Lytechinus pictus: one gene and its partners. The protein of the gene in region 1 purifies or fractionates together with the protein of each later gene. This does not show direct contact. Links are inferred from orthologs where the notes say so. Each region holds a gene or a part of one and is shown in the gene's direction. Other genes may lie near its edges.

The links. Proteins that work in one complex are often made in the same cells at the same time.
Region 2: the proteins of (E3-independent) E2 ubiquitin-conjugating enzyme-like (region 1) and ATP-dependent DNA helicase Q4-like purify together in Homo sapiens (affinity purification with mass spectrometry; 3 studies listed by BioGRID, with this or other methods). This does not show direct contact. The link is inferred for Lytechinus pictus from reciprocal best matches to the Homo sapiens genes UBE2O and RECQL4.
Region 3: the proteins of (E3-independent) E2 ubiquitin-conjugating enzyme-like (region 1) and large ribosomal subunit protein uL14 purify together in Homo sapiens (affinity purification with mass spectrometry; 3 studies listed by BioGRID and IntAct, with this or other methods). This does not show direct contact. The link is inferred for Lytechinus pictus from reciprocal best matches to the Homo sapiens genes UBE2O and RPL23.

The regions. Positions count from the first base shown.
Region 1 is NC_087254.1:31,377,964-31,386,583, reverse strand, and holds the start of (E3-independent) E2 ubiquitin-conjugating enzyme-like, read left to right. Parts: upstream 1-5,117; coding exon 5,118-5,141; intron 5,142-8,620. UniProt on the Homo sapiens protein: E2/E3 hybrid ubiquitin-protein ligase that displays both E2 and E3 ligase activities and mediates monoubiquitination of target proteins. Negatively regulates TRAF6-mediated NF-kappa-B activation independently of its E2 activity.
Region 2 is NC_087246.1:52,525,243-52,533,402, forward strand, and holds the start of ATP-dependent DNA helicase Q4-like, read left to right. Parts: upstream 1-4,767; 5' UTR 4,768-4,956; intron 4,957-8,160. UniProt on the Homo sapiens protein: An ATP-dependent DNA helicase which unwinds dsDNA with a 3'-overhang in a 3'-5' direction. Does not unwind more than 18 bp of dsDNA. May modulate chromosome segregation. The N-terminal domain (residues 1-54) binds DNA Y-shaped DNA better than ss- or dsDNA.
Region 3 is NC_087247.1:17,383,696-17,391,515, reverse strand, and holds the start of large ribosomal subunit protein uL14, read left to right. Parts: upstream 1-4,427; 5' UTR 4,428-4,455; coding exon 4,456-4,468; intron 4,469-7,820.

The DNA.
Region 1 (8,620 bases):
TTTGTACAAGTTTTTTCAATGTTCATTAGTGTTGTTGGTGTTGCTGCTGCTGTTGTCATCGTGATTGCTGGAATTGCTGTTTGTTTTTGCTGCTCTTGGTGTTGTGGGTGTGGTTGTTGCATCTCCTGGTGCAATTAGTTATTTTTGCTACTGATGTTGCTCAAGGTGGTGCCTGTGTGGTTGCTGTTGTCATCGCTGCTACTGCTGCTGTTTACGAGTGTGGCTGTTGCATCTCCTGAGGCATCTATTGATGTTGTCGCTTGTGTTGTTGCTTGTATGATTGCTTGTTAGAATCCTTGCTGTTTGCTTTGTTTCTACTGTCGTTGTTGCTACTGCTGTTGATGTTTACCACTGTGGTTGTTGCATCTCTTGATGAAGTTATTTATGTTGCGCCCGATGTTCCCTGCATGATTGTTGGAGCTCCTGCTGCTGTTGATGTTGTCGGTGTGGTTGTTGCATCTCTTACTGCAGTTGTAGTTTCAGCTGCTGATGCTGTTGTTGCTCCTGCTGCTGTCCATGTTCATGGAAGTAACTGAAATGGATTTAATTTATAGAGCATGTGATATTTTATTAATAAAGATATCAATTTCCATCATTATTGATATCAGTCATTTATTCTTAATTTAATTATCATTGTTAAAACATTTTTTTATTTCTAATGTTTGAAATAAGAACTTTAAGTTCTAAATGGTTAAAATATTGTCACCAAAGCCTTATTAAACAATGAAAACAAAAAAGTTAATAACAAAGAAATGCATAAGAAAATGATTAAAATTTCCTCTTTTTTTATACACAATTGATTTTGATGACTTGGGTTTTTCTCATTGGTTTACCAAAGAAAGGGAGTCAAAATCCAAAATTATCACATTTGGTCTTTATTTCTTGAGCCAAATGCTGATTTCATGCAAGAGTCATGTTATCATATTAAATTAAAAAAAAAAAAACATCAGGAACAGCAGCATGATTTCTGAAGCGAGTGCACAATCAACAGGCAAGATCCTGAGGCACCCCCCCCCCTACCAAGATCATTTGAATTAATGAGGTTTCATGACTGCTTTTGTAGGCATTACATTTATACAGGCCTACAAGAGATATAATTTTTTTTTTTTTTTTTTTTTTTTTTGGGGGGGGGGGTAATCTTCCAGTGTTACTCCCATACAAAGCAGATGGTGATGGGGCGGGGGGGGGGTCTAATAGGAATGCAGAACAATGGAACATTCATTTACTACTTTGGCAATAGAAAGCAAGTCACACCATCTAGCATTGATTGATATTGGTTGTTTTACAACTGTCCAATAAATATCACCATTAATCAATTAAGCATCTAAGCACTTATAGATGTCATTGTTTTCAAATATTTGAGTAGAACAAATAAAGAAGAGAGCAGTACCAGTAATTTAATATTTTTTTTAATGTGACTTTACTTTCTTCGCCAAAGTGAGGCAGTCATAATTAAGAGTGTTTTAACTTACAAGTGACATCACATTTCCTGCCTTCTTGTCTGGCTCTCCTAAACCTTCAACCATTTATACTTGTGTAACTTTGTATCTCATGTCTGTCTGAAAAGTTTGGTTGAAGCCTCCACCTGAAGGAAAAATAGTATTGAAATAACTAATTAAAATATTTGCCATAATCTGGTATTTCTTCTCACATGTATATGTACATGTCTAAAAACAGGAAATAAAACATCTTTTGATTACCAGGTTTCATATAGAAGGGGGTAAATAAAGGGTTCAAGTTTTTATTATGTTAATAAAAAATACAAACAATAGTAAAAATGACATATGCTCTGGCTGAGAAACTTAAAAAGTGAAATTATTCCTCACAATGTAGCTTGTATGTACATACACATGAGCAAGTAGTGCTAAATGGATTGAGGGGTGAGAGCAGGGGCTCCGGAAACCGGCGGGGGGGGGGGGGGTGCATGTTAGCTGCAGGGTCAGCGGAACGGTTTTTACAGTGAACGGGCTGACCATGCAAAAAATCGTAACCAGATGGTCATTTCATATTTTTCAGCCCCCGCACTGTTTTCCAAAACCATGTACAAAAATGTAAAATTGACCATCTGCTTATGATTTTTTGCATTGGTCAGCCCCCCCCCCCCCCCCCCACTTTCGGCTCAGCCCCCTCACTTTCAAAACCGTTCTGCTGACCCTGCAGCTAACATGCAAAATATATTGAATCTATTATGTCTTTCATGCTTATGTAATGTTTGCATTTCAAACTGACTTTAAATAGAAAATCCGGTCACAGTCCGATTTCATTGTCATTGATGTGGGTTTTTATGATTTTACATTCTGCAACCAAAACAATATCCTTCATTATTTTTTAATCATTATCGCATTTTACTAGTCTACATGTTACCTGTGGTTGCATTTCAATCTCGGTATTTCTTCACCCATTGCCAAATCTTCTGTCACATGTTCATCAAATTGGCCGCTGGCACATTCCTTGCTGTAGTAGACCAGTCAGAGCCTTGCTTTCTAGTTCCAGATCCGTCTTCTTCTGCATACTGTTCAAATGTCCATAGTCTGAAATTAAAATATTAATAATATCACATTGTTATACATGTAGCAAAGAAAATATGTAGATTTACAGTGATCATTGAAAAATACTGCACTTTCAATGAATATTGTTGACATTTCATAAAGGGGAATGATCGAATATACCAATCATTTTTCTTCTTTTATTATCCTGAAATTTATAGAATTTACCAACAATCGGTCAACAATTTATCCTTGTTAATTCATATAATTTTCACTTGATTATAAACAAGACGGTAATTAACACATTAACCATACAAAATAGTAAAACAGCTTTTTCAATAATTTTTTTTTTAAATTAAAAAATAAAAATAAAAGTTTTTTTCAAACTCAATAGCGCTTGGATACCTTGCCGGTTAAAAGCCACAATCAAATTAATAAAAAATATGAATAGGCTCCTAATTCATAACTGCAGCAAATTGCATCCCCATCAAACCATCAAACTGTCAACTATTTCTGGACTGTGACCTTTGTTCAATGGAACTTTAATATGAGATTCAAGGCAGAAAAATACTTGGGATTGATGAGATCCATTCCATATTCTCCTATATTTTTTTCTAATGAAGAGACCTTTAACCTTTACATGCTATTTAAGGTTAGGTATGACTAGACTCTAACTTTATGTGGTACGACAGTATTTTTCAAAAAATAGATTAAGAGACATTATCAACAATAATTTAATTTATTTACCCCAATAACACCGATGCTATTGCAGATTCATGCTAAATAGTAATTTGTCTAAAAAATTGACTTAGAAAAATAAAAGCCAAACAAACTTCATAATCGCACACAAATGAAGAGCATTATTTCGTCTCCCCCAAATTGGACGATCAATATTTTTTTTTAAAGGGAGCTATGAAATGGCTCATTTCACTTGGGTGCGCAAAGTCAAAGATAATTTAAGATAGATCTAGGCCTATAAGCTATACCAGTACGGCCACGGGCCGGTTGCACTATTTAAAACTTAGATCTAATAATTTTTTTATATCTAGATTTTAATTTTTATTGGGTGTGAACGCACCTCTGCCACAATCGCATCACCCCCCCCCCCCCGCCCGAATCCTCGACAGCTGTCGAGAGCCTTCACTTCATTCGACTTGTGACTTGCTAAGGCTAAGCCTACATTAATAGTTGAGAACATCCACTTTACAAATTTACCACTCACACTATTACCATGTGATTTAGCTCCTGTTCAATTCCAATTTCTGTAACACAGAATTAGGATGGCCCCATTGGATATGTGTACATTTACAATTGCACACGCTGGTTTGCCTGGTGATCAAGCCAATCTCCGACTACACCGAGCAACAAAATTATTACAAAACCAAAGGAAATGAAAAAATATGATTTGCAACATAGAATGACATAAAGGTAGAACAATATAAAGAATTCTCTTTGCAAAATTTATAACATTGCAGCCATGTGCGGATCATAAAAACGTGACAGCCGTGAGCCGTGTCGTTAGTTTGGACCTGAGATAGTTCTACAGACACAGAAACACGGGTATGGGACTAGACTGGATTTTGTACTGTCAAGTTCACCGATCGTATCGACAGGGGTCCTGCCAGAAGATCCTCTTTTCTTGTAATTCATTTGATAATCACGCACAACGAATAATTCAATCACCTTACATACAATATGAACGACATTTTGAAGGGTTTTACTTACGGTAAAATCCTCATTCACCTCTACGAGGACCTTCGCTTCTTCTCATTTCTTCGTTTCATTTCGAATCGTCGTGGCGAAAACATCAATCAATTTTACATCTTTTTCACGACTTTGGGAGTGGGCGTGGCCTAATTAGTCAGCGAACCTCGTTCAAGACGATTTGTAAAATAAAAATTCTCTGACAATAGTCAGAGGAGCTCCGAGAGTTTGATGAAACGAATTTTTGTCAGCGCTGACTAAATTGTCAGCGCTGACAATTTTAGTCAGCGCTGACAGTTGTCGGACGAAAATATTGATGAAACACCCCCCTGGTCACTATAAATGAGGGGACTGATGACATAAGGGCAATTCCATGGAAAATGTTCACTTTAGAGAAAAAATGAAGTTTCAGATTTCACTTAAGCAGTTAAATTTTCTTAAAAAGTAATCTATAAAGTTTCAATTTCCAATAGAAAAATTGCAATATTGATAAAATTTTGTATTTTTTTCCATCATAAAAAAAATTGAATAGTAAATTGCAAAATCTAAAAAACGTGGCTATTTTTAAACAATTCATCTTTTCTGTCTCTACTAAAAGCAAATAAGGTCCCAGAGGTCTCTTTTAACTTCTGAATAGTTGATTAATGTTTACATCAATACAAAATCATCATTAAATTTTATGCCATTCATCAATTTTAAAGAAATCGATCTTCAGATTTGTGTGATTTCTTTATCATTTTCAGTGTCATGTCCGTTACGTTTTTCACTTAAAGTTTTCACAGCTTACAGGAAATTTGTCTGAAGGTACTGCAGATTCAGATTCTATGTTAGAATTAATCCCCCTACCATGTGTAGCAATCATTTTCCCTTACCACTTCTCATTTTCATAAAAATGGCGTAACGGACATGACAAATCGTGTAACGGACATGACGCCTTATATACGACAAAAGGTAGCATTCACAAAAACAAAATATTAGGCTCAGTGTCACAGACTGAGGTCAGTCTCAATTGCTTGAGGATAGCTGGATGTAATAACTCCTAAAATCTGCATGTCATTCAAGCTATTTTTCGAAGTTGGTGAATGATGAAAGTTCAGCTCTTGTTCTGGTATATTTTTCTGAGAATTAACAATATGCCACATAATATTAGGATAAGATGCAGCTAGATCTGGCAACATACTCAGATCACAATCTGTATCATTTGTGTTTGAACAATACGATTGATTATCTTAGGTGTTTGCACTGACAGTTTGGAGCATGATAAAATTCCAACTTGTGAATTCATGAGATCATTGATGATATTGCTTCAAAGTATCTGACTTTCACCAACCTCAACTTCTTCAGTGATGGCACGGGCTCACATTTAAAAACAAGTTTGTATTCAGATATCTGTGTTACATGATGTAGCTCTATGAATCCATGAATCTACAGTGGCACTTCTTTGCAATATCACAAAGCAAAGGGGCTATGGAAGGAATGTGGCGCTATCAATAAATTATGTCATCATAGTATTTTGGTCAGCCATAATCACGATTTGAATGATGTATCTTCATTTGTACACAAGCAGCACGGACAATGCAACATAATTAGATACAGCCACATTTGTCAGCAAGCAAGATAGTAAGATTTAGAACATCCAAGAATTGATGAAAGGATGATTATACTCAGGATGATATTTATTTTGAATGAAAAAAAATCTCAGAAGCGATTTACAAACATTCCGATTACCTTTCAACTCATACATAATCGATAATGAAAGACTGGTTTCCAGGTACTGCTATTAAATTTTAAAATACTTTTTAATATCATTTTTTTATCTTAAAACTGACATTAATACTAGTTCATATTATTCTTTATCATAAAATATATTTCATATGTTCATCTTGGATTTATACAGGTCTGGTACATTTTGTTTTCTTCTCACAAAAAATGAGATTTGGTCTTCTCAGTGTGCCGTAGGCCGTAGCGGTACTATTAAGCATTGTATTCTATATAAAATTATCATGTAGGCTTTAGCTATTAAATTAATAATACCTGCCAATAATATCTACATATTTTTCTTTAGAATGTTAGTAAAGGTACTTTGCTGTTACATAATTACATTCATTCATTCATATTTCTTTCATTTTGAAACTAAGAAGTGCTGATGAAGTTCACTTCGTAAGGGTGTCATGTCCGTTACGCTAAGTACATTGTCAAATAGTAAGCCATGACTAAAAGATAATCTTTACTATCAACTTTTTCTCTTTTAGTTTGGTGTTGCAGATGGTAGTAACTGGAAAATACTCATTAACTGTTGTTAATTGGTGAAAAATAAATTTTTCTAAATATTTGTTTGTTTTATAAATATTGTACGAAAAGCCCCTCTCTCAAATTGCAAAATAATAGGAGATATTACAGATTACCAGTTATGATGTGTGTCTCTAACCTCTAGCCTTAACATGTAAACAATTAGACTTGTACCATATCTTGTAATAAAATAATTATATTTGCTTACAAAAAGTGGACGAAACTGTCATGTCCGTTACGCTTCGTGTGTCATGTCCGTTACGCTTCGTGTGTCATGTCCGTTACGCTACATTTTGAGCTATGAATACAGAATGCACTGCAAAACTGTTGTTAAACACTATTTTATGGATAGAGCATGATCTTAAGGTTAAATCAACACCAACATCAGGTGCATGCAATCTAAGAATTCACAGGAATTTTGATAAGCAATAGGAGGTAAAAATGCTTCGTCCATTTCGTGTCATGTCCGTTACGCTCACAAAGAGTGCAATTTCTCAGCAACTGTTCAACGAAACGATTTGAAATTTCATGTGTATGTAACTGATACTTAAATGTGTCTGATAAGCTCAGTAACAATTATCAAAAGACTGCTAATTCTACTGTATTTACCTTTGAATTATAAAAATTTGTCTGAACGTCATGTCCGTTGCGCTGGAATTGACCATAACCCACTCACTATTTCTTTTGTATCATATTATATGAAATATTTGAATTTTCTCCTCATTGTCATGTGAGCAAAGTTTCGTTCCTCCCTTAACATGTGGAATTTGATTGTTTTTACATTTTGTGGTTCGAACAAGATGGTCATAATTGTCATATCCGTAAAAAAATGAAATATTGTATAATTCAAACAATAAAAACAAAAGAAATAGCCAGTGAGTGACATCATCAACTCTCTCATTTGCATATCGCTGAGTTGAGCATAGAATGAGTAAAATAAAAATACAAAAATAGAGAGAGAGAGAGAGATGGAGAAAGAGAGAATTCAGATCAATTAGTAATAAATTTATAAAAAAAAATTACCCCTCTCCAAGAAAGAAATTAAAAAGCTATAATTCACAACTATAAGCTAAGTGATTTTGGATTATTAAGGCTCCGTTTTGACAAGCAAACGTTTTAAAATGTCATAACTTTTTTGTTTTTCATCCGATTTTGATGAAATTTTCAATGTTGTGCCAGTCTGATTTTTCTCTATTTATTCAAATCAATATTTTACTGGGGTGGACTTGACCTTTAAGTACCTTGTTACCTAGGCCATCTGGCCTGGGAGATTTGTGTGTTTGTAAGCCTGAAAATATTCTTCTTACGTCATGCTCAGAAATTTGGATAGGTGTTTGATCAGGCATCTCGTTCACCTTACTTTTGATTCCTTCATTTTCACTACCAAAATTTTCAACATCAAAACGACATTAAAAATTATTTAGATCATCAACAAAACCAATATCTTGTTCTGTTGGCACAGATTTTGATTTATCTTTGTTGTATCGAGTAATATCCTGCATTGTTTTCCATGCCTTTCTGGGGTTATTATCTCAAGAGTTCCGTTCAATCTTTTCTTTGTAGGAACTTTTACATTTTTCCGTCTGCTGCTTGATTTTTCATTGGGTTTCTCTCAGTAACTCCGTATTTCCTGTCGAAAGCGCTGCACCCTTCTCCCTGAGTAAATCGCAAAGTTCTTTATTAACCCACGGCTTGTTGTTAGGATACACCTTAACTCGTCTGTTTGGCGTTGTTATTTTGAAGCAGAACTTGACATAGTCGGTTTCACAGTCCAGTTTTAACACCACTTTGAGTTTATGTACAGGCACACTCCTCCCCTCATCTTCCCGGATTCTCTCGTTCTGTCCCCTCTGACCAATTTAAAATAAGGAATATGAAGTGCACTATCTGGTATTGAGTCATTTAGCCAAGTTTCACTGAATCCCATGAAACATGCTTCTCTATATTCATGCATGTATCTTGTGAGAGTTTCCAGTTCATCTATCTTGTTAGAAAGGGAACGCACATTGCCGATAATCATACTAGGTAGGGGGGTTTCGTAACCCAAAATCAAAATGATACAAAATCAGAAAATTCTCAACTTCTTTCTTGTGTATTAGTTTACATTCCATGAAAGGCCTCTGTATGTGTTGATTTTCTTT
Region 2 (8,160 bases), on another chromosome or scaffold:
ATCTTCAAAATTAAACCCACTTAAAATGCTTGGGCTTAGAGTGTTGTCTTTACCCCTCACCCAGTTCTCTTTAAAATACAAATTAAGGTAAACATCAATTTTATTTATTTATTTATTTATTTATTCATATTTCACCAGGGTAGCTCATTCAACAAAAGTTGATCTTCCATGAGGCCCTGGATAACAAACAATACAATTATATACAATTAAAAACAATCAATGGTGATAATACATATACAATCATCAGTCCATATGATATTGTTAAAATACAGACGTATAAAGTGATAACAGTATTATATAAAGTAATATATCAAAAAAGAGATTATAGTTTATAGCATCAGTCCTGAAAGGGGAATGGTATTGCATCCCAGTTGATCGGCCTAGGCAAGATTGAGGAAATGTCTTTTAACAGAGAGTTTGAAATTATTGAGGGTTTTAACATTTTTAACACTTTGTGGGAGACTATTCCATAGAACGCAGCCATCATAATATAAAGCATAATATAAAGCAGTTGTAATCTTAAAACTTAGACCCCAGCATCTTCCAAACTATAAAACCCTTGTGATAACGCATACTTAATTTGACCAGACCAGTTTATAAAAAAAAAAAAAAAACAGAACAAAAAAATGTAACCCTCTTCCAGCCTAACATCCTGTAATAAATGATGTTATTAAACATTCATTTTTTTCTTCCAGGCAAAGAAATTAATCATAAAAAACAACATCAAAACTTAGAGCCCGGGGAGCATTTCATGAAAGGAGTTGTCTGACGTTTTATCCGACACTGGTAGCACTGCTTCTTAGCCAATCAACATCAAGAGCAATTGTCAAATCTGACAACTTGTCGGATATAAATGTTGATGAAATGCTCCCCCAATCATCTTATTCATGTTGAACAGGCACAAGAACATGATTGAGTCTTAGTTATGAGGATTTCATTTATCTTATTTTTGAAATGACATGGTCTGGAATAAAGAAAACTCTCTAAACTTTTATTTATTGAAGGTTCTTAGTTTGAAGGATAGTTGGGCCTTAGATTATGTTATTCTTTTTTCATGATTTTGGTTATTTTGAAATAATTGGGTCTGGAGGAAAGACTACATCATATTTCCATGTTATTCAATGTTGATAAGATTGCAGGGTCTTTTTTGTTGTTGTTGTGTTTTAAATGACTTTTATAACTCGGTCTGGAGGAAAGACTACGCTATATTTCCATGTTTTTCATCATAAAGAGGATCGTGGGTCTTTGTTTGCTTTTTTTAATTAATACTAATTTATTATTATTATTATTCATTTCTTATTTGAATGATCTGGGTCTGGAGGAAAGACTACGCTATATTTCCATGTTATTCAACCTAAATAGGATCGTGAGTCCTTGTTTGCTTTTTTTTAATTATTACTAATTTATTATTATTATTATTCATTTGTTATTTGAAAGATTTGGGTCTGGATGAAAGATTATGCTATATTTCCATGTTATTTAATATTTACAAGAGAGTTCGGGTCTTTGTTACTTTTCCACCAGTTTTAATTAACTGGGTCTGGAGAAAAGACTAAGCTCGATTCTCATTTTATTCCACTAGAATATCATTATCGTATCTTAGTTTGGACTTATAATAATTTTGAAACAACCGGGTCTGGAAAAAAGACTTTGGACTTGCATTATAATTTTTTAATTATCCGGGTCTGAAAAAAAGACTTTGGACGTATATTATAATTTTTTAAACAACCGGGTCTGGAAAAAAGACTTTGGACTTGCATTATAATTTCTTAATTTTCCGGGTCTGAAAAAAAGACTTTGGACGTATATTATAATTTTTTAAACAACCGGGTCTGGAAAAAAGACTTTGGACTTGCATTATAATTTTTTAATTATCCGGTTCTGAAAAAAAGACTTTGGACGTATATTATAATTTTTTAAACAACCAGGTCTGGAAAAAAGATTTGGACTTGCATTATAATTTTTTAATTAACCGGGTCTGGAAAAAAGACTTTGAACGTATATTATATTTTTTTAATTAACTGGGTCTGGAAAAAAGACTTTGGACGTATATTATAATTTTTTAATTAACTGGGTCTGGAAAAAAGACTTTGGACTTCTGTTATAATGGTTGAAACGACCGGGTCTGAAAAAAAAGACTTTGGACGTATATTATATTTTTTTAATTTACCGGGTCTGGAAAAAAGACTTTGGACGTATATTATATTTTTTTAATTTACCGGGTCTGGAAAAAAGACTTTGGACGTATATTATATTTTTTTAATTAACTGGGTCTGGAAAAAAGACTTTGGACGTATATTATAATTTTTGAATTAACTGGGTCTGGAAAAAAGACTTTGGACGTATATTATATTTCTTTAAACAACTGGGTCTGGAAAAAAGACTTTGGACGTATATTATATTTCTTTAAACAACTGGGTCTGGAAAAAAGACTTTGGACTTCTATTATAATTTTGAAACAACCGGGTCTGGAAAAAGACTTTGGAATTGTACTATAATGTTTTATTAACCGGGTCTGGAAAAAAGACTTTGCACTTTTGTGCTATATGAACGCATTACTATAGGATTTTAGTTTAGAACAGGTTCGTCAAAAATCCCTTCAAATTTATTACATTTGTGGGTAAAGTCATTATTACATTTGTGGGCGATCAAAAATTATTACATTTGTGGGTAAAGTGCATTATTACATTTGTGGGTGAAATTATTACATTTGTGGGTAAAGTGTTATTACATTTGTGGGCGTTATTACATTTGTGGGTAAAGTGTTATTACATTTGTGGGCGTTATTACATTTGTGGGCGATTATTACATTTGTGGGTGTAACACCCCCCCCCCCACTTTTTTCCAAAACCGTGTACAAAAACTTAAAGATGACCATATGATTGTGATTTTTAGCATGGTCAGCCCCCCCACTTTGAAAACCGTTCCGCGGCCCCTGATTTTAATTATCACAGTTTCCTTTATATGGGGGCAAGGGAACCGAAAGGCAGAGGGGGCACTTGCCCCCTTAAAATTTCCCATAGCAAAAACGCCTTTTTTAATGTGAAATGCAAGCCTGCGTAGGGAAAATTTTGGGGGTACTTCAGCACCCCAGCTTCCCAGGGCCATGGTTCTGCTTGTTAGATTTTTTGTTTTCTTTACCCTTTACCAAAATGGAATAAAGAATGAAGGTCATGGAAACTTGTTTCCCACTTTTATGAAACTCCGGGTTGAAACTTATAGGGAATTGATTGAGTAAGCAACTTGCGGGTACGGGAGGCATAGGCCTATACTGTGCAGCCGGGAGAACGGGAGATTATCCCATAAGTTGGCAACAAAAATAAAAACGGTTTAGAAAGGCAAATACAAGTTGGAAAAGGGGGAAAGAGGCAAATACTAGGGGGATGACAGTATTTAGCCCCCCCCCCCCCCCATACAACCGCGTAGCCAGGAAGCGCGCTCCCTAGGGTGCAGGGTAATCTCATCGTAAATCAAAAGAAGGCGTCTTTTGCGTCTCTAGTACCCTTTTCAACTCGAATTCAATTGAATTGCTGTGATAAAAAAATTGTTTTCAAAAGAAATTATGAGCTTGAAGATTTGAGATAAGATTGGAGGATTTGAAAGAATTCCTCTTACCGCGCGAAGCGCGGAAGCTAAAACGTTTTATAAAAATTGAGAACAGAAGTTATAAAAACGCCTACCTTGGTCACATCAGATTTGATTTAAATCAAGTTAACTCAAGTCGCAAAACAGAGTAAGAGACGGGTATATGCAGGAAAGAAATAGGCCCTATTTCTTCCCGCGAATGGTGTTGAAGCTCTGAATTTTAGAAATTTATCTGAAAGCTTAACCTGTTATAATTTTGACATTTCTTAGACTGTAACTCGATTAACAAGGAAAATGAGCTCAAAATGTGAAAGGGATGGTGCAAGCTAGAAGAGGGACTTAATTGTCCTTTCCCATGCTCGCCAAGTGCGGAAACCTTTGTGATTTATTTTGGAAGAAAAAAAAAGTGTATAATTTCGCTCATATTAAGCGCTTCCTTTTGTTTGATTTATAAGATACTTCAGTGATATTAAAAATTTTAAATCAATGGCACAAAACAAGACAGGAGATGGATGTGCAGCGATAAACAATAAAGTCTCATATATACTTTTGCATATTATAACACGGAACGAATTTAATGCCTCCTCCTTTGAGCAGATATACTTGCCAAAATTACTTGCTGACAAAGCGGAAAAAAATTCATTTGGGGAGTCGGGAAATGACGGTAATGTTTACCCGCTCCGAACAGGAGAGCCGACAATTTGTGTCAATTGCAATTTTAAAAATATATATTTTTCACTCTTTACACCCATGTATAATTTATAACCTCTGGCAAGAATATACGATTCCCACAACCGGGAAGGGGAAAAACGAAGTAGAAAAGGGTGTGGGGAAACAAAAGGGAAAGGCGATTTAGATGTTTTTCACGCGCGGAGCGCGGAAGCAACATTTTTTATGAAGAGAGAAGATCAACGTTTCGTTAACTTTAGGTTTTTATTCTTTTGACAAAAAAAAGAAGGAAAAACAACACAGCATACCTTTTCTTCCCTTTCATAGTCTACTTTCGCTTTTTATTTTTCTCCTTTTCCTCTTTTTTGTTGTTGTTGTTGTTTTTTTTTTTTTGGGGGGGGGGCGACCGCCCCCATCGCCCCCTGGCTACGCGCCTGCCCCCATACCCTGCCCTGCCCTATATCCTGCTCTCCTCCCTTCATATCAGCAAATACTGTACTTTTTTCTTTTCTCAGAGACACTGTACCGGTACCCGTGCAATTGTTTTGATCTCTAGCTAGCTCTTTGTTCAGTTCACGTCCCGCGCGAAAATTGAGTGCTAATGACAGAGTTATTAGGAGTCCCACCCATTAAGGCCAGGCATAGATAGAGTTATAATATTATATAAACCTAAACACTCTATGGTCCCACCCAGCTTGACAGGTAAGAACTAAATCAATCATTTATGGAAATTGAATTTGCGCTTTTAACATGTTTCATGGTGGCACACATCCCTATCGCCACCAAATTTGAGAGTATTTCATGATTTAAAAAAAATCCCGGCTAGCGGCCAGGCTTCGGCTTCGCTTCGCGCAAGTGCCTAGTCCGTGCCCGGCCCGTGGTATGGTGCTTGGCCGCATCTTTCCCGATCGAGATTCAGCGTCCCTCTGCTAGCCGGCAATTATACCCAGAGAGCTCCGTCCCGCGAAACTCGAAGCGGGCCGGAGCCTAACTTAGAAAATAGAAGGTAACCAAGGGCCTCCATGACAAGATGAGCGATACGTAGAAAAGTTCTAGGACCATTCTTCCGAGATAGGAAGATTGGCGACAAATCAGCGCTTTCCATTTCACAAACTAAGGCAATTTCAATTTGTCTTCCAAGACAATCCTTGACATCGTTTGGTATCGATAGTAATTAGTATCGCCTATCGGAAAAATAATTTAGTCTTCATCGTCACCTGAACCTTTTATTTCGGAATGACGGCTTTTCATAATAATAGATTCTATACTCAGTAGAGGCGCACGGCCAATATGGGAGACTCCAATAGCCATAGGGGAGACGATCTCCCACATTGGAGACTTGCTTTGCAAAAGGACAAAAGAAACAACAACAAAAGCATGATTTTTTCCACCCAAAATTTTGTCTCACTGAGGTCAGAAGCCCATTTGTTTTGTGTGTGATTGACAACAAAAATCCTTATCAAAACAAAAGTAGACGGTGAAAAGGGGTAATTTTTCATGAGGAATCTGCTTATCACATTTTTATTTGCCGCCAAGGTAATCCTTTTGCAGCAAATGCAAACAAAGGAAATTGGTCTCCAAAACTGGAGACTGTCTCTGAAATTGGATACCCAAATTCTTTACAAAAGTCTCTGATATTGGAGATAATCTCCCACATTGGAGACAGTCTCCAATATTGGCCGTGCGCCTCTACTGATATTAAATACAGTAATTTTAATAGTTAAAAAAGAGATTTATTCTGCAAGGCAGGAAGCTGTTTTGCCACCTGTTGGAACCCTTATAAAACATTGTAGAAAATATAGGGAAGAGGAATATAAGATTGCACAAGAGAGGAATACCTTGGCAATACATCTGGGCAATTCCATGGAAAATGTTCACTTTAGAGAAAAAATGAAGTTTCAGATTTCACTTAAGCAGTCAAATTTTCTTAAAAAGTAATCCATAAAGTCTCAATTTCCAATAGAAAAATCGCAATATTGATAAAATTTTGTAGTTTTTTTCCATCATCAAAAAAATAGAATAGTAAATTGCAAAATTTAAAAAACAAGGTCCCAGAGGTCTCTTTTAACTTTTAAATAGTTGAATAATGTTTAAATGAACAGAAAATCATCGTTAAATTTTATGCCATTCATCAATTTTAGAGAAATCTGTCTTCAGATTTGTGTGATTTCTTTACCATTATCAGTGTCATGTCCGTTACGTTTTTCACTTAAAGTTTTCACAGCTTACAGGAAAATTGTCTAAAGGTACTGCAGATTCAGATTCTATGTTAGAATTAAACCCCCTACCATGAGTAGCAATCATTTTCCCTTACCGCTTCTCATTTTCATAAAAATGGCGTAACGGACATGACAATTCGCGTAACGGACATGACGCCTTATATATGACAAAAGGCAGCATTCACAAAAAAAAATATTAGGCTCAGTGTTACAGACTGAGGTCAGTCTCAATTGCTTGAGGATAGCTGGATGTAATAACTCCTAGAATCAGCAGTTACTCAACCTATTTTTAGAAGTTGGTGAATGATGAAAGTTCAGCTCTTGTTCTGGTAGATTTTTCTGAGAATTAACGGTATGCCACATAATAAGGATAAGATGCAGCTAGATCTGGCAACATACTCAGATCACAATCTGCATCATTTGTGTTTGAACAATATAATTGATTATCTTCTGTTTGCACCGACAGTTTGGAGCATGATAAATCTCCAACTTGTGAAGTCATGAGATCATTGATGATATTGCTTCAAAGTATCTGACTTTCACCAACCTCTACTTCTTCAGTGATGGCACGGGCTCACATTTAAACACTAGTTTGTAGTCAGATATCTGTGTTACATGATGTACATTGTAGCTCTATGAATACATGAATCTACAGTGGCACTTCTTTGCAATATCACAAAGCAAAGGGGCTGTGGAACGAATGTGGCGCGATCAAATTATTATGTCATCATAGTATTTTGGTCAGCCATAATCACGATTTGAATGATGTATCTTCATTTGTACACAAGCAGCGCGGACAATGCAACAATATAAGATAAAGCCACATTTGTCAGCAAGCAAGATCGTAAGATTTAGAACATCCAAGATTTGATGAAAGGATGATTATACTCAGTCAGGATGATATTTATTTTGAATGAAAAAAAATCTCAGAAGCGATTTACAAACATTCCGATTACCTTTCAACTCATACATAATCGATAATGAAAGACTGGTTTCCAGGTAATGCTATTAAATTTTAAAATACTTTTTAATATCATTTTTTTTAATCTTAAAACTGACATTAATAGTAGTACATATTCTTTATCATAAAATACATTTCATAATATGTTCATCTTGGATTTATACAGGTCTGGTACATTTTGTTTTCTTCTCACAAAAAATGAGATTTGGTCTTAGTGTGCCGTAGTGGTATGATAAACATTGTATTCTATATAAAATTATCATGTAGGCTATAGCTATTAAATTAATGATACCTGCCAATAATATCTACATATTTTTCTTAAGAATGTTAGTAAAGGTACTTTGCTGTTACATAATTACATTCATTATTCATATTTCTTTCATTTTGAAACTAAGAAGAGCTGATGAAGTTCACTCCGTAAGGGTGTCATGTCCGTTACGCTAGTGTATATTATCAAATAGTAAGCCATGAATAAATAATAATCTTTACTATCAACTTTTTCTCCTTTAATTAGGTGTGGCGGATGGTAGTAACTGGAAAATACTCATTAACTGTTGTTAACTGGTGTAAAAGAAATTTTTCTAAATATTTTTTTGTTTTATAAATATTGTACAAAAAGCCCCCCTCTCAAATTGCAAAATAATAGGAGATATTACAGATTATCAGTTATGATGTGTGTCTCTAACCTCTAGCCTTAACATGTAAACAATTAGACTTGTACCATAT
Region 3 (7,820 bases), on another chromosome or scaffold:
CCCATGACACCAAGTAAAACCAGTTGAAGTCAATTGGTTTCAATTAGTGTCCAAATTGGGGACCAATTGGGCTATTTCCAGTTGAAACCATTGGTTCCAATAATTGGGACCAATAGTTTTTGGTTTCAATGGGGATCAATTGGTTTCAATGGGTACCCATTGTTTCACTTTCCAATTACTCCAAATTGAAACCAATTGCCAATTGTCATATTTCAATTTGGATATTCAATGGGTATTCAATTGGAAATTTGTCCTGGGTAGTCAATTGGTATTCAATTTGGATATTCAATGCATAGGCGAATCCAGGGGGGCCCAAGGGGCCAGGCCCCCCCCCCCCCTATTGGCGGAGAAAAAAAAGGAACGAAAGAAAAAAGGAAAAGAGAGGAGAAAAATAAGAGGAAGACGATTGAATTAAAAAATATATCAAAATGAGGGGAAGACTTTGAAAATAAAAAGAATCTTTCATATCACGATAAAAAATTTGCTCGCGCATCGCGCTCGCATTGCCTGTTAGGCGATTTTCACAACTAGTTCAATATGGAGCTTAAATATCAAGTTTGGAAGTTATACAAAACATATTTCACCTCGGAAATCGAACTTTCATTATTTTGTGTGATTTAAAAATTGATTTTTTTTTATAAAGTGCTCTGTAAAATGTAAGTTTTATGGTGAGAATTTTAACATCAAAAATTAAAGTAATAATAATAAAAATATCAGCTCTTCATTAAGTGCGATCCATATCCACCTCACAATTTTCCTACAAAGTGCTTGAAATATAGAGCTGAAATTGACCCTTTTTAGATCGAAATATCACTGAATATTTTAAGCTCGCGCTTCGCGATCGCCAAATTTCATGATAAAAGATTATTTAGAATGCCTAGATTCTATAGGATTAAATCTCAAACACGCGCGCGCACCTGCTCGCTTTTTGTGCTCGCATTATTATATGTAGGAAGATCCCCTATTACTCATCCTTTTCATGATTTACAAAACATGAATAGAGTGTCCCGTTTTTAGGTCTAGATCTCGAATTTTCCGCATCAATTGTCTAGTTATATAGCTATCCTGTTCACGATTGAAAATATTGATTAAAATGTTCCATTCTAAATGTCAAAAAAACATTATATTGTTTAAATATTTACGTCTCCATGGCTAAGTGCAAGCAGTCCTTAACAGGTAGCAGGCGCGGATCCAGGAGGGGGCCGAGCCGCCCCCCCCCCCTATTTTTTGACAACCTGCCGAAAAAGTGTACTCTGTAACTAAATAGAAACTACAAAAAATAGAAAGAAAAGTAGGAAAGAAGTATTATACCCATGAAGTGTAATTTACAGCCTCGTAACGGCCGGCCCGACCCCGAAAGAAAACAAGAAAAAGGTGAGGGGAAGAATTGGAAAATAGACTTTATATAAAAAATTTCGCTCGCGCTTCGCGCTCGCATTGCCTGTGTTATGAATCCCATTCAAGAGGATTAAATGACACTTAATATTTGCAGCTCTGAAATCAATTTGCACACAATATTTTAGCTCACACATCAAGCTTTCATTATTTTGTTTGATTTACACAAATTGTTATATCAAAATGTTCAGCTAGCGCTGCGCGCTTGCATTGTTTGATTTGTGAGATACCTATCCTCTTTGGAAATTCTTTCCAAAATTTGTCAAAATGCTCCTTTATCATGCATGTGAGTATATCAAAAAATTAAGCTCGTGCTTCGCGCTCGTATTTAATTGTTTGAGACACACAGCTTATTCTTTATTCAAATAAAAACGCGCTTAGACTGTCAAGTTTTCAGGTCGGAATATCCAAAATTTTGAGCTCGCGCTTCGCACTCTCATTATTTAATTGGTGATACTTGTATCCTCTTCATTAATCGCTAAAAACAGTCCTAATTGAGTCCCTTTTCACGTTACTATAATAAAATTTCGACTCGCGCTTCGCGCTCGCATTGTTTATTTGCATACTTATCTTTGTTCATGATGATAAAAAATGCTCAGAATCTTCAGTTCCAAGGACATAAAATATCAAAGAATTTTAGCTCGCATGCACATCGCGCTCGCATTATATAAAGACCACATGAGATACCTTATCTTGTTTATAACAATAAAAACTAACATATACTTAAGACTTTAGTCTATTGTTAGGACTACCCCCTGAAAAACCAACAAAAAAATCAGATTATAGCGGCCAATCGGGACAAATGTTGATGAAAATATTTCGGCCCCCCCCCCTATTGGCGAAAGCTGGATCCGCCCCTGGGTAGGGCCTACCTTTTAGATCAGTTCAAAAATTTTCTGCTCGTGCTTTACGCTCGCATTATTAATGTAAGGAAGATCCCCATTACTCATCCTTTTTATGATTTACAAAACATGAATAGAGTGTCTCGTTTTTTAGGTCTAAATCTCGAAATTTCCGCTCGCGCGAATTGTTAAGTTATATACCTATTCTGTTTCAGTTACAAAAAGTGCTTAGAATTTCCATTCTTTAGGTAAAACGGTCAAAAATTTCAGCTCGCGCCTGGCGCTAGCATTATTTGATTGTTGAAATATGTAACGTCTTCATGGCTAACTGTAAGCATTAGGTAGGCCTACATTTTCGATCAGTTTAAAACGTGGATCAAAAATTTCTGCTCGCGCTTCGCGTTTGTAGTAATTATTTAGTTGCATACACATCTTTTTCAATATATCAAGCATTGACTAGAATGTTCAAATTTTAGGAAAAAATACATACAATTTATAAAAAAAATTGCTCGCGCTTCGCGCTCGCATTATATGAATATAAAGGATGATGTCACAGTGGCGTAACTACGGGGGGGGCATGGGGGGGCACGTGCCCCCCCAATCGGCTGACCCAAAAAAAAAAAAAAAAAAAAAAACGGGGAAAAGGAGAAAAAGAGGGAGAAAGGAAGAGAAACGAAGTGGGAAAGAAGACATTATTGTTCATTATAATGTTATATTATAATTATGTTATGTTATATTACATAAGAAACATTTTTTTTTCATAACTTTATGAAACATAATTTGCTCAGGGCCTATGTCCTCATTGTTCCTGGTGCTCGCATCGTCTGTTTACCGAGATATATAATCCTGTTATACTAAAACCTCCCGTTTTCAAGTCAATATACACCAAACTGCCAAATATATTTCCTCGCACTTCGAGTTATTGTTTTATGTACAATAGTATGCTTCTTTTTCATGACTACTTAAAGTGATTGCCCCATTTTAAGGTCTTGATATAAAACATTTCCTGTCCGTGCTTACGTTCGCAGTAGTGGATTGGTGAAATATGTCTGCTTTCCATGGATTCCTAGAATCAGTCCTTAAATGTCCCTCTTTCTAATCTGAATATCAAAAATTTTCAGCTCGCGCTTCGCGCTCGCGTCATTTGGTTAGTGAACTACGTATGGTCTTCGTGAATTTCTACAAACAAGCCTTAAAATGCCCCTCTTCAGGTCTGAATTTCCTAAATTTTCAGCTCGCGCTTCGCGCTCGCAAGATTTGATTAGTGAAATGGGTATGTTAATCATGATTACAAGTGCTTTATGTGCATGTTTAGATGTAATTCTAACAAAATCAGCAAGCGCTTATTGGCACTCGCATTAGATGACTATGGTGAGATGTGTATACTCTTAATGCATTCCTAAAATATAGTCCTTAAAATCTTCCTGTTTTGGGGTCAATATTTACAAAAATTTCAGCTCGCGCTTCGCGCTCGCATTATTTAGCGAGACAGGTACATATCATGATTACAAAAGATTTATTATAATGTCCCCTTTTAGGTCTAAATATCAAAAATTTTAAGCTCGCGCTTCGCGCTCGCATTATTTGACCAGTGAGAAACATATCCGTTTAATGGCACTGTCCTTAAAATGTCTCTGTTAGGTATACCTGGCAGCTGGGCGCGCTTCGCGCGCTCACTTAGTGACTCAAAACTTTTGCTGGTGCCCCCCCAATGCCGTGACCCACGGTACGCCACTGGATGATGATATTATATATTCATGTTGATTTATATGAATAAAGCTAAGAAGTAACTATTAGGACTACCCCTTCAAAGAAACAAACAAAAATCATGTTCGAGCGGCCGATCGGGGAAAATTTGGCTGAAAAAAATTCCGCCCCCCCCCCCTATTGGCGAAGGCTGGATCCGCCCCTGCAATTTGTCCTTAGCTCTTAGCTTGAATTGTCCCGCCAAAACAGTCCTTAAAATGTCTCTTTTTCCGGTCAGCAGGCCTATATCAAATTTATACTTTCATTAGTATTTGCGCTTCTTGTTCGCATCATCTATTTAGGAATATACCCAATTCTTTTTCATGAATACAACAAGTGAAAAAGAGTGTTTTTTATTTATTTTTTTCTTTTAGTGGATGAGTGGTTCCTCTCGATATCCCCTTCTCGATTTTATCTTATAAAGCCCTCTATTGGCGACTTTATGCTAATTAACAATCTCTTTCCTTCCAAAATGTCGAAGCGAGGTATGCGATAATAAAATTATTAACGCACAAATCTGTCTAAATCCATGCAATCATGAAAGAATGTATTAAAAATGATATCATATGAGAATAAGCGATGTATTTTTTTACTCTGTAGTGAAGGCATTTCAAATATATTTGGTGTAATATTGAGTTCCTGCATGAAAAAATACGACTATTGATGTATCTCGGCCCGAGCACTTCGTCCGTGTGAAACGGACATGATTGATATATATGCGAGTCGGTGGTGACTAGTCGATAGAATGTCTAAAAATTAAAAACCATCCATTTGTTTGGGTCACAGTAGTAATATCCGCCTTAAGATGAAGATCTAACTTGTTGGTTTTTTATGTTTTGTATTGTAGACAGGAGTCTAGTGAAAAAAAGTTTAAATTTTCATTCGTGCTAGGCTTACTTACACTACACAGTTACACTACAGTCTTAGGACAGTGGCTGCGGGGGCTTTTCCCCGCTAGCTGGCTGTGTATGTCTGCTGGAGAGCGGCGGCATGCGCATGCCACTCATTCAATGAACAAGGACTAACCTTGTTCTCAGTTACATCTCCATTTGTTGCAAAATAAGGGTAGCAATGTTTGGCTTATTTTCTCTTTTACTTTGGGACAAATGCTTGATTTTTTTACACTGTCTGTTACTCTGTTTCCATTACAGCTATAGGGTCTACATCATATTATAACTTGACTCTTAAGTAAATTTGATTCTTTATTTTTAAATTTTTTTTTTAAAATTAAAAATAGAGATTGAAAAATGAAAATTTTCTTACCATATTACTTTCCACCAATAGAGGGCGTACACAAAAATATGCAAAAAATTTAAGTTTTTGAGCGCTCTGGTGAATAGAAAAATTATTCCCTGGTTACTAATGAAAAATAAATTGCAAATGTATGGAAATTAGTAATTTTGGTCACAAAAGTGACATTTTAATGATTTTTTAAAGTGTGTGCTGTATACAGCATTGGCATACCGTCCATAGTCCCTACCTGTAGATTCCCCACAGGCGGGATGGTTGCAGTGAACAAGTGCGGCATGCCATGGTCTTGGTTCAGGAGACTCTGCTCAGTGCTCAGCTGCCAGGCACAGAGAAAGAAGAGACTCCCTTCATATAAGAAATCCCTCTTTGTTCAAGAGGGATTTCTTATGAAGGGAGTTGCGTCCCCATGTCTGCGCACCTGGATAAAAATAACTTATATATATGATTCAAGTTTTCAACCAGTTGAGGCGCATGGCCAATATGGGAGACAATCTCCAATATTGGAGACTTGCTTTGCAAACAAACAAAAGAAATATAAACACCAACAAAAGTGGAATTTTGTCCACCCAAAATTTTGTCTCACTGAGGTCAGAAGCCCATTTGTTTTGTGTGTGGATGACAACAAAAATCCTTATCAAAACAAAAGTAGACAGTGAATTTTCAGAGTAGATTTTTATTTGCCGCCAAGCTAATCCTTTTACAGCAAATGTAAACAAAGGAAATTAGTCTCCCAAACTGGAGACTCTGAAATTGGATACCCTAATTCTTTACGAAAGTCTCTGATATTGGAGATAATCTCTCTCATGGGAGACAGTCTCCCATATTGGCCGTGCGCCTCTACTGTCAACATGAATTTCTGGTGCTAATAATGCAGTTTCACTCGGCTCCGGCCTAGCCCTACCTACAGTACAGTAGGCTCGAGGCGCTGGTCAGAAAATTCGGATTGTCCCAGTTTACAGGGACTGTCTCAGTTTTTAAAGATTTCTCTACACAAGAAATCTAGGAAAGTTCATTCACCTGTCAAGTGCCAACACCAATCAAGTGTGCTAGTCAATGTAAACATATCAGGTTTCATATCAAGATTATTGGAAGACGGTAATTCATGAAAATAGACGGTGAACTGGGGGGAATTAAAGGAGAATGAAACTCTTGGAGCAAGTCAGCTTTTGTGAAAGCAGAAAAATCAAAGAATAAGATCAACAAAAGTTTGAGTAAAATAGGACTAGCAATAGAAGAGTTATGAGCATTTGAATGTCGAGATCACTAATGCTATGGGGATCCTCCCATTGGCAATGCGACCAAGATCGATGATGTCACAGATGAACAACTCTCCCCTTTTGGACACTGAAAATATACCCCAAAACATATCTTTTTGCTCATTCTAATCATATGACGAACGATTTATCAATGATATAATGTTGTGAAACCTCTGTACTTGTGAAACCTCTGTACTCTCTCATAAAGAGAACACCTCACCTTGTGATAGACTGTAAAAGTGAGAATATAAGTGAAATAAGTACTAAAGTAATGAGGGAGTTGTACGTGTGTGACATCACAGATCTTGGTCGCATTGCCAATAGGAGGATCTACATGGCATTAGTGATCTCAATATTCAAATGCTCATAACTTTCTTATTGTTCATTCAATCTTCCTCAAACTTTCAACAATATGTTTCTTTGATTTTTCTCTTTGATATGGATTCAGCTGGTTTCAAGGGTTTCATTCTCCTTTAAGGTCTTTGAATCAATTTTTACTTTTAGCACTCTCAAATCCCGTAATTGATGTCTTTGTCCCGTAGGGAGAAGTGAAAAAAAAAGTCCCCATAAACAAGGACAGTCTCGATTTATCAAGACATGATTTGTCTTGGTTTAGGAATATGAGGATATTCTTGTTTTCTGGGACAATCCCAATTTTTGGACCAGCGCCTCTACTGACCTAGGCTAGCTTCAACAAGCAAATTTCCCCACCTAACGGTAGACTCTATTTTTATTGTGTTTGCTTACTTCAGTCCATATGTTAATCTCAAAATTATGGCAAAGCGAAGCGCATTGTCTGACTGAGAATTCAAACGACGTCAAGTTCAAAAAGCCGCAAATCAAAATACAGCCGATCGCGATATTTGGAAAAGCAGTTGGCACATTGACCTTGTTGATGAAATGTGACTGAGAAGTGAGAAACTTGCCATGACATTTGCGAACAATTTTTGGTGGGGAAATTTGCTCGAAGTCGGCTGGTGTGAAACTGCATTCGCGCCGAATTTCTTTCTATTCCACAAATATTTTCAATCCAAATGTGTCCCAATTTTCTAAAATAAATTTGAGAGAAATAGGTCTACCAACATGACCAAGTCTTGTTTCATGGAAAAACCTTGACCAGTCATTTTCAGATTTAAACTAAATGGTGACCCTGCCATGTCTGTGCACCCATGATTCACTATTCTAATTCACATGGCAGAAAGTATTGTGGGGATTTTGATTAGAAACTTAGAAGGGCTGCTCAAGTCATGGGGAAGGGCGCCCAACAGCGCTGTGTGAGTAAACCTTCACACATCGCCATGGAGCTGTGTATAGATCTACAGTGCGTCCC